Ovis aries: one gene and its partners. The protein of the gene in region 1 interacts with the protein of each later gene in a pairwise test. Links are inferred from orthologs where the notes say so. Each region holds a gene or a part of one and is shown on either strand. Other genes may lie near its edges.

What was found.
Region 2: the proteins of MPPED2 (region 1) and RXRG interact in binary tests that used the Homo sapiens proteins (3 or more experiments, as listed by UniProt). The two-hybrid records come from large-scale screens. The link is inferred for Ovis aries from reciprocal best matches to the Homo sapiens genes MPPED2 and RXRG.
Region 3: the proteins of MPPED2 (region 1) and CAGE1 interact in binary tests that used the Homo sapiens proteins (3 or more experiments, as listed by UniProt). The two-hybrid records come from large-scale screens. The link is inferred for Ovis aries from reciprocal best matches to the Homo sapiens genes MPPED2 and CAGE1.

The regions. Positions count from the first base shown.
Region 1 is NC_056068.1:60,184,189-60,187,840, forward strand, and holds part of MPPED2 (metallophosphoesterase MPPED2), read right to left. Parts: intron 561-3,652; 5' UTR 440-560; coding exon 312-439; intron 1-311. UniProt on the Homo sapiens protein: Displays low metallophosphoesterase activity (in vitro). May play a role in the development of the nervous system.
Region 2 is NC_056054.1:117,398,060-117,401,711, reverse strand, and holds part of RXRG (retinoic acid receptor RXR-gamma), read left to right. Parts: intron 1-291; coding exon 292-383; intron 384-1,900; coding exon 1,901-2,006; intron 2,007-3,652. UniProt on the Homo sapiens protein: Receptor for retinoic acid. Retinoic acid receptors bind as heterodimers to their target response elements in response to their ligands, all-trans or 9-cis retinoic acid, and regulate gene expression in various biological processes.
Region 3 is NC_056073.1:47,139,743-47,143,394, forward strand, and holds part of CAGE1 (cancer-associated gene 1 protein), read left to right. Parts: intron 1-71; coding exon 72-1,097; intron 1,098-3,652.

The DNA of each region.
Region 1 (3,652 bases):
AACTAGGGATCAGGGGAATCTGCCAAAATTAGCTGTGTGACATTAGGTGAATATCTGAACCTCTCTGTTGTCAGCCACAAAATGCAGGCAACCCCATGAGGGCTCTAAAGATCTAACAGCAAATTATGGTCGACTGTACATACTCTGGAAAGGTGCAGCATTACCCAGACACGGAGGATTCCTCTGAGCCGTACTTGGAACCACAGATAACCCATCTGTTTGGTGAAGCATATATCTTTTATTCTCCAAGTCATTAGCGACTTTCTAATACCCTGATGGCTAATTTTTTTAAGTTCACAAGTGATACTTACATATGTACATGTGGCGGCTGGAACCTGCTCTGGTTGATGTTGTAGTGCGTGAATGCCTGGGTGGGATTGGAGCTGTACTCATCCACCGTGATGGTAACTTTGCCTTGAGAAGGAATCCCATGTGCCATCCTTCCTCTCTATAGGCATGAGCAATTCACAACTTTCCAGAGCGAAGGATGGAAGTGGGCATGGTGTGTTTCAGCCAACCTCTGAACCCAAGGATCTACTCATCAATACTGCTCTGCGTTTCTGGAAAAAAACAAAACAAACAAAAAAAATGAGGACAAAGAAAAAGAGGATGTTCTAAACAATGTCAGATGTGACACCTGGATGTGAAACTGGCTCAGGAAAAATCTTAATCTGTGTGGTCGCTTCGTGGACAAAACCTTTCCCAACTCTCCATCCAGCACGTACTTCAGAATGGACATGACACTCCAAATGACACGGCTGGCTGCTAGCAAACCATTTCAATGGTGTTCAAACTAAGATTTCCTCTTTAATTATAATTATGCCACTTAACGTGAATTACGGAAGGGCACATCCACAGTTGCCATGGTGTCTAACTATAAATGGTTGGAGCTCGAAGTGGAGAGTCTTCCAAACCTTCCCTGCTAATTGGAATGTTTGGTCTGTACAAAGTTGGTGTCACAGAATAATTTGAAACCTCGGTGCTTAGCACAGCCATAAAACACAATGTCAAATGTAAATTTAAAATGCTGTGTTCATCACAGATACCTGTGTGTAACTATGATGTACACATAATATATGCACACATCACATATAATTTTTCAGTGGTTCCAAAATACATAGGCACTAAAAGCATGGTATACATATGGATTCCACTCCAGCCAAGAACTTTATGTTAACCCAAATCCTTCTTGCTACATGTAACGTAGTTTCTTAAAACCATCCAGTTACTCAAGGGAAAGGTGAACACATCCAGGCTTGGATCACCATTTTGGATGCATTCATTACCAGCCTCTTAAAGACCAGAAGGAGCAGTAAAGAAGGGTGGCCATTGAATCTACCGCTTCACTCCTGCTTGCAAGTCGCTTAGTCATGTCTGACTATTTGTACCCATACGGACTATACAGTCCATGGCATTCTCCAGGCCAAAATACTGGAGTGGCTAGCCTTTCCCTTCTCCAGGGGATCTTCCCAACCCAGGGATCAAACCCAGGTCTCCTGAATCATAGGCAGATTCTTTACCAGCTGAGCTACAAGGGAACCCCTCACTCCTGCTTGGTGCTGCAATAATTCTCAGTAGCTGGTTTCATCCTTTAAAATCTTTTTCAGCTCATTTTGATTATTTGTATAAAAGACACTATATTATTTCTTGCGCTGGGTTCAGAAATGAGGATGTTTATTTTTATAGCAGTGCGCAAAGACTGAGCAGAGCCCATCACTGCCTCTAAGCTGTTGCAATTGATCAGGGAAGTTTTAAAGAAAGGGACAGCATGCTCCTTGGATACCCTTGGGTTAACCCACACTCTCTAACTTTAAGCGCTCTGCATTACAATACTTTCACCATGTGCACCATTAAGTTCTGGGAATCTTAGATGCTATCTCAAATAAAAATATTTAGAATAATAAGATTAGATTTAAATTTGGCATGAAACACCTTAAATATCAAGCAAAAGGCAGATGGCTTGCCATAGGCCATTTATTTTATTATTTTACAACCCAGGGCTTGTGTAGTCCTCCATATGCTAGCTGAGTGAAGAAATTCCACAGCCTTCTACTCAAATCATTGCCTTCTTCATATTAGCAAAGCAAGCTAAATAACACCCACCTTGCCTATGTTCGTAACACACAATGGGGCTGCCAAGACATGAATTCCTCCTGCTCTGGCATTTTAAACAAAGTGTCATTTTGGGTTCTCTTTCTTCTTCCTGACTTCATGGGAGGTATGAGTCCTCTAAGCACTGGCTGACAGACAACCAGGCCAGTAGGATTAACGAAATTAAAATCTTTGCCTGCTTCTCTGATGTAAGATATCTATAAGAACTGCTTACAAATCATAATGTAGCAGTTTTCATACCAAGTTTGCAGCTGTTTCCTTAATTTCCCCCACAATTATATTTTACTGTTATTTTGCATAACAGTAAAACACAACACCTGCTTCAAATTGCAGTCCTGTTCTAAGTACTGTAATTCTCTTTTGAGACACAAAGTACCGAGACACGAATGAAGCGCAAAACTGCATAATTGCGACATGCTGAAAAGTAAATACAAATGAAAACATCTTCCTGTTATAGAAATGACTGTCATTAAAAAGAATGTTAGCCATCAAAGCACAGAGGGGGAAAAATACACATTTTCAGACTGGAGAACTTAGTGTTTGCATAAATTAGAGAGTGGTGTAAAAATTACATGGCAATTCTTACGTTCCTGCCATCAATGTCCATTGTGTGAAATACAGAACATTAAGAAGCAAAGGAAATAAAATTCATGTCTAGACCACTGTGACCTCTCTGTAACAATCTCTGCACCCGGAGCCAGAAACAGTTTAAATGTTCCTGGAGTAAACTCACTAATTAAACTCAGCAAAATGGCCTAGAAATGAAAGATACATACCTATTATGTAAATATCTAGGTAATGACCTACAGTAGTTAGCATTAGACCCTCCCATTTGAAGTCCAGAAAAGAACTTAGAAGGTGATCAATTTGCACTCTTATATGGTCCACTATATCCTACAGTCAACATGGGATTGCCTTTTCTATCAAGTGAGATCTGTGCCTCTTTGCACCTTTGCTCCAGTAAGACAAATAGAACATCTTTTCATCAGCAAGCACAGGCCCCTGTAACTCAAAAGGGTAAACGGGTGGCTGGCACCTCATTTGAATTCATCTTTACCATGTTCTCTTTCAAATGTTTTATCGAAACAGTGCACCTGCAGCGTCTATCTTCTTTAATCTGGAGTCCTTTGAAGAAAATGTCAGACTGAGGCAGAGAGCTTCAAAACTTTCACAGGAACCTTTACAGACAAGTCAAGAAAAAGCTTATTTTTTAAAAATGCTATGTTCACCTCCATTCACATCACAGGATAATCATATCTCAAGAATATGAAACACCAACACATGGGAAAAGCATTTTTTTTTTATTGTAAACTCCCTCCTCTAATCTGAGAAACCTGGAAAAAGCTTGAAACAAGACAGAATGATACACTGCCTCAAACTACTAAGAATCTGCATCCCCTTGCTTCATACAGGCAGTAAAACCCTCCAAATGATAAGATTTTGGAGCACCTCATCCTCATCACACACATTATTTTTTATGTATAATATTTAAAGAAAGCAGTACTCTTTTTTAAATTTCCATTTTTACACTTCAATACAT
Region 2 (3,652 bases), on another chromosome or scaffold:
TGCAGCCCCCTCTCTGAGTTCCCTGCCTCTTCCTGGGACTCTGATTATGTCGGTCACTGCCTTGGCATTGTTGCTATGTGCTGTTTCTGTGTCTGTTGCTTTGATTAAACTGAGAGCTCCTTGAGATCAGGGACTGCACCTGATTCATCTCTGTGCCCCTAGTACCTGGCCCATTGACTGGAAAACGTGGGCGGGGTGGGTCCATAATAAATACTGATTGCATTCCTTTTATCAGCCTTTGGTCTGCTGCTCGTGATTTTCTCATTACCTGTCATTGTTTCCTGTGAACAGAGTTCTGACTGAGCTGGTCTCCAAAATGAAGGACATGCAGATGGATAAGTCAGAGCTGGGGTGCCTGCGAGCCATCGTGCTGTTTAACCCAGGTGACAGCATCTTTGTCCTCCTCCCTGGTCAGCCCCCAGCGCTCTGATGTTATTTGGCCCTCTAGCTCGGCTGAGACAGAGAGGGGAGAAGGCAGGGCCAGGAGACCTGTCCGTGGGGAGGACAGAGTTGCCTCTGCATGGCCTCTGCTCCTTGAGGCATCTTGAAAAGTGTCTCAAATGGGCGTGGAGTGTGCACATTGGGGGTCAGTAGGGAAGGTGGGAGATGATAGAGGCCTAGGATAGTAAAGGAGGTGGTAAAAAATGGTCAGGTTCTCCAGGGGCTGACAGAAGCTAGTGAGTAAATAAGTGCTTCCATCTTCCTTCCCTAGTGGACAATTCTGCGGCCCATTCCACATGCCTCCTAAGAGGGTCCCTGTGAGACTGAGTCCCGGTTGCCCATGGCCGTGATCAGTCCAGTCATGTGCTCTTGTGTTGCCTTTTCTTCCTTCCCTGCTTTTTCTTTTCCGGTCCCTCCCTCCTCTTCCCTTGGTCACTGCCTCAAGTAAACTACTTCCATGCGAGACGAAAAAAATAGTAGTCAGGTTCTGCATATATTTTTTGGCGGAACTTATGGGATTTTGCTGATAGATTGTACCTAGGATATGAAAGAGAGGCATTAAATATTTTTGTTTTCCTGAACAATTGGAAAACAGTTTTCATTGACTGAAGCGGAGGTTCTAAGGGTGGGTGGCTAGGAAGCAGGTGTTTGGACATGAAACTCTGAGATGGATGTAGATGTCCAAGAGCGGCTGTCCAGGAAGCAATTATTCATGTGACTCTGGAGTTCAGAGGAGAGGCAGGACCAGAGATGCACATTTGAGAGCTGTCAGCCTATACCTAGCGTGGAAAGTATAGGGAGGCTGGTGCGAACTCATCCAGGGAGGAAGCAGAAGCAGAGCAGAGGGCTGAGGACTGGGTCCGGGGGCATGGCCACATTTAGAAGTTGTGCAGAAAAGGAAGAAACAGCCAAGGTGCCTGCGAGGGAGCAGTGGGTGAGACAGGGAAGAACCAGAGAATGACGTCCTGGGGTCTCAAGGAGGAAAAGCACTGCGAGGAGGAGCGAGAGCTCAGCTTCCACCAGAGGCCGCCATGGGTCCGGAAAGATGAGTGTTCAGAACTACACAGTGACCGATGCACACACTTCGTCTCTTGAGTCAGGTGATCAGTTAGTGGAAGCAGGGCCTGGCTGCGTCTGGGCTTTGTTCCCTGTCTTTTCATTCAGCCCATGCTTAGCACAGAGCAAACACTCAATAAATGTGTAAAGGTCGTATATGCACAATGGCCCAGATAAAAGGAAACTCTCCTCCTTGGAGTCAGCGCTGGGTACCTTTGCTTCAAGAGTTTATTGGGTAGATTGGCAGGCACAAAGCACCAGCTCTGTGTATTTCACAGTGCCCCTCGTCCAGTGTGTCTCTAGTAACTCGACAGGAGGTGGCCTATATGCATGGGGACAGCCTCTGTATCAGGGTGTTCCACAGAGGTGCGTAACCAGAGGTTTAATCAGCTGTCTTTTTCAGATGCGAAGGGTCTCTCCAACCCGTCTGAGGTAGAGACTCTGCGAGAGAAGGTCTATGCCACCCTCGAGGCCTACACCAAGCAAAAGTATCCAGAACAACCAGGCAGGTGAGGGGGTCCTGAAAGAATGTGAACAACGTAGCCATTGGTGAATGGCTGATGGTCAGCACGCTCTGTCTAGAGTTTTTCACAACCAGCTCACAGTTACTCAAACGTTAGCTTCATGAAACTGGAGGTCTTGTCTCTCTTGTATATCCACCACTCACCACTGCGGCATCACTCGAGCACTCGAGAGCTTATCACCATTCTTGGCAAATAATACTCATCTTTAAATGTTGAGTGAACATGCAAATGAGTGAATAATTGGAGAAGTCCTTATCTCTAATTTCTAAAGAGGTCTCAAGGCTCCGAAAGGGTAAGGAACTCGCCCAGGGTCACAGAGCTGGTGCATGGTGTAGTGAGCTGTGAACACAAGTGCGTTTGATTTCAAAGAGCCTGTGTTCTCCAATGTGACTGCGCTGCTTTCCGCTTCGCCCCAATGAGAGCCCTACTGCAGTAGAAGGTACAGGCTTTGGCAGCCAAGAGGGGTGACCGCTGGCCCTGAGGGCGCCATCTGTAGGCTCTGGCAAGGTCCTGTGTCTGAACCTCTTGTCTGAAAAGGAGGACATGGGTCAGAAGGTCTCTGAGGCCATCTGTCAGTATTCCTGAGTCGTTGAATACTTTTCCCAAATGTTTCCCCCAAGTACAACTGAATAAAAGTTTCCTTACTCTGCTAACTCTAGTTAAAAAGAGAGAAAAAGATCACCAATCTCACGGAAAACTGCAAATGAAACCTAAATCAACTCCGTTAAAGGCATTAGTTTGTTTTTAGAATTAATTATGTGTTCCCAGTTCTCACTGATGACTTTTATTCCCCTATGATTTTTATTAGCCCATTTTTCCTGGATCATAAGCCACAATCAGTTGTCTAGAAGAGGCTGAGCTCTGCTTTTTTTTTTATCACAGGAAATGAATGAGTCTGAGTGAGTGGGATCTAGCCTGTTGGTACAATAAATGTGCAGGCCTTGTGTGTTAGGGAGCGTAAGTTGTGACAACAGGTTTCCCGATGTCAGTAGTTGAACACAAATGTACTTCCTCCTCACCAGTCAATCCTGGGTGGATAATCAGTCTAGAGCACTGACTGTTTTCCACGCCATCCCTCGGGAACCCAGATTTCCTCCTTCTCGGGGCTCCGTGGTCCCCTAGTCACGTTGTGTTTGTACGCTGATGGTTGAAGGGGCAGAAGAGGAGGGGCCCAGAGGTGAGACTCTACGAGCAACACCTTGACCCGGAAAGGGCCCATCTCCCTTCCCTCACTTCCATTGGCTAAAACTCGGTCACACGGCTCACCTGGAGAATGTACGCAGCTAGATGCCAAGAAAGAAGGGGAGAGTGGATCTCGGTGGGTGCCTGGAGTCTCTCCTATACCTGCAATGGGTAAGACTGAAAACCTACCCAGCAAGCAGGGCCTGGCTGCCAACATCAGCTCAGCCTCTGGCCCTTAGGAGCTGACTGAAAACTCACCAGAATGCTGGTGACACTCACTGGATCTCCCAGCTGTGAGGCACCATCACACGTGGTTTTGTGTGTGTGTGCACATCTTGTGTGCCAGGCATTAGAACTAGGAAAGCTCATACTCATCCTTTTCCTCTTTAAAAAAGAAAACTTTTTTTTTTTTTTAATAAAAGCCAAGCATGATTTTTTGAATAAGGAAT
Region 3 (3,652 bases), on another chromosome or scaffold:
AGCTCTCTTTGACCTCAAAGCTCATGATCTTTCTACTATTTCAGACTTATTTTATTTACTCTAATTTACAGATTGCAGGTTCTTCCAAAGGAGTACAGAATTCTATGGATATTCCTGAGATGTCAGTCAGGCACCAAAAGGAAGTCCCAGAAAAAGGCGGGTGGAGGCCACAGACGGGCTCAACTTGGGCTCCTACAGGCATGTGTTGGAGCGGTGGAGCATCTCAGGAGGCCTGCGTGATACCTGACTCAGAGCAGAGCTTGGAAAGCTTACAACCTCTGGAACAGGACATGGCTTTAAATGAAGTTGTACGGAAATTAAAATGTACTAACAAAGAAAAGGAAACTCGGATCCAAGACCTAGAGCGTCAGAACACGTATTTAGAGAAGAAGGTTGAGGAACTACAGATGAATGCGACTAAACAGCACGTGTTTGTGGACATCATCAATAAGCTAAAGGAGAAGGTCGAAGAGCTAATTGAAGAAAAGTACAGAATAAAGCTGGAGAAGAGTGATACAGAGAAGACACTACGGAGTTTGCACGAGATTTTAGTTACCACCCAAAACCACCTTCAGGAATGCAGGAGTGAGAAGGAAACCTTACAGGCAGAGTTTAAGAAACTCAAGGGCAATTATGTTAGTCTGCAGGAAAGGTACATGACTCATTGCATGGAGATGGGCAGCACCTTGAGCAAGAAAGAAGAAGAGATAGAAAGCCTGCAGCAGCTCAAAGGAGAGCTGGAAAAGGCCACCAGTGCCGCTCTGGACTCGTTGAAAAGGGAGAGAGAGACCGGAAGAGAGTTCCTGTCTTTACGGGAGGAATTTCAGAAACGTGAAAGGATACACCTGGATGAAAGAGAGAATCTGAAATCTAAACTCGAGAAATTGGTCACTCAGGTTCAGAAGGTGAAATTCCTATCCGACAGTGAAAAAGCTAAGAATGCAGAACTCCAGCAGCAGATTGACAAAGTAAAAAATGAAAACACAACACGTCAGCAGCAGGTTGCAAGGAGTGAGGAGCAAAATTGCGTCCCTAAATGTGAGATAGCTCAACTCAAGGAGATCTTAGAGGATGTAATACAGTCAGATGTGGCCAAGGTATTATCACAAATTCAGAATCTCTAAGGCAGAATTTCAGGAGTTTCTAATAGTCTGCTGAGGCGTATTTGGGCGTGGCCCATACCCTAATTTGTTGGCGGAGAGAATTAACCAAAAAGAGAGAAACAGTGGAGAAGGTGCCACAGTTTTGGACGAGTTTCTTTGGGTCTCAGATACTCCCATTAAAGAACAGCCATTCCTGGCCTCTTGCGATTATATTGGTAGAGTTGCAAATGAATGTGGGAATTTTGTGGGTACCTAGGAACCCGGTGAGCTGCAGTCCATAGTGTCGCAAAAAGTCAGACACGACTGAAGCAACAGCCCACATGCAGGCATGCATACATGACCGATCATCCGAAGCTTCCTCTGAGAAAAGAATTTCTGAGTGGGATCTCAGCCTTTTCATGCCATGTCTGCCTGTTCAGCAGTAAAATAGATAATACAGCTGCATATTTGGTTTACAAGGCAAAACCTACATTGTAGCACACAGTAATTTTGTAAAGTTACAAACATTTTTACTGAGATAGCATACTCCACTAGTTTTAGGTGTACAGCATAAAGATTCAATATTTGTATGTCTTGCAAAATGATCACCAAATATATCTATTAACAATCGTTAAGAACAACATGAGAGCCTCGTATCAATGTGTTTGGAGAACCTGTATTTTGTATTTGCAGTTCAGATGGCTTTTTTGGCAGACAGCTGGAAGCCTGTCTTGGTAGTGATAATCCTCACAAGCCAGAGCACATCTGCTCTATTCCGGTTTTGTAGGCCTGTCTTAAAATATCTGTAGTGCAACTTTATTAATTATTAGAAGGCTAATCTGAGTCAGAAAAATGTATATGTTTATTTTTATATTTGTCATAATAACTTAAACTGAGCTGATTTGTTGCTCAAAGATGTCCTTAGAAGACTTTCTTTTGTGAATCTCTAATCAGTATTAAGTATTGTTTGCAAGACAAGGATCCTATTATTTTTAATGGCTCTTAGAAAAATACTGTTCTCATGGGACTGAAAATTCTCTCTGTCATCTTTTCTCCAGAAAGAAGGAAGGATTATCTAAGCCAGTGTGGTTCTCAAACTTTAGCATTTATCAGCCTCAGCTATGAAAATGCAGATTGCAGGGACCACCCCAGAGTCTCTGATTCAGCAGGTGTGAGGTGGGGCCTGGGGATTTGCATCTCCAGGAAGATCTTGGGGTCTCACTGATGCTCCTGGCCCCAGGGTCATGCTTTGAGAACTACTGACCTAAGCAGGTCGGGAAGATCCCCTGGAGAAGGGAATGGCAACCCACTCCACTATTCTTGTCTGAAGAATCCCATGGACAGAGGAGCCTGGAGAGCTACAGTCCATGGGATCAAAAAGAATCGAAACACGGCTGAGCGACTAACACTTTCATTTTCACTTTCAGCCTAAGCAAAGATGACCTTCAGTTTGGCTGTTAACGAAACCACGACGAATTTTGAATTAGTAAACACTGAATAAATCAGTATAACTGTGCAGCAGTTTATCCACTATACAATGTTTTTCTTGAGCTTTCTTTCTTTCTTTCTTTTTTAGGGCTTCCCTGGTGGTTGAGAGGTTAAAGCGTCTGCCTGCAATGCGGGAGACCTGGGTTCGATCCCTGGTTTGGGAAGATCCCTTGGAGAAGGAAATGGCAACCCACTCCAGTATCCTTGCCTGGAGAATCCCATGGACAGAGGAGCTTGGTGAGCTACAGTCCATGGGTTGCAAAGAGTTGGACACGATTGAATGACTTCACTTTCACTCACTTTTTTTAAAGGCAGCTTTTGCTCTATCTTGACTAATCCGTTTTTGTTTTTTTTTTGCTTCTAGTTTTGCTTTTCATTAATCTTTAGGTCCATTTTCTCGATGTGTGTTCTGGGAGCATCTTTGATGTTGAAGCATTTTCATGGTAATATGAAGACATCATTGCCTTTTTCACTCTCATTCTTTCCCAAGTGCACAGTGGAGATTTCCAGTGAAGCCATGTGCCGTGTGACGGTGTAATTGCTTTCACGGCTGATGGAATGTGGAAAGTACAGTGGAGAGTCCTGCTGTCTTCTATTAAGCCAGCATTAAAAATATTTGCAGAAAGTGTAAACATTCCCACTTTTCACTAATTTTTCATTTTGACAAATGTGGTAATTTTGTATTAAATTGTCGCTTATACTGACAGAATAGATTTATTGTTGTTTAAATGAATTAGTAAATAAATATTTTTGAATGTTCTCAGTTGTAATTTCTAATACAATGAATACTGATAAATATAAAATAGATTCTAATGCAATAAATGTTTATAAATGTAGATATTGTATTTCTAATACAATAAATATTGTTATTTAAATGAATTTGTAAATCAATATTTTTGATGTTCACAGCTGTGATTTCTAATGCAATAAATATTGACAGATACAGCCTAGCAAACAAACGCTTTGGGATATCCTCAATAATTTTTAAGAATATGAAAGCATCCTGAAAATCAAAAAGTTTGAGAACCACTGCTTTGAGTTTTTAAGAGTGATATTTTATTCAGCATTTTACCTAAAAAGTA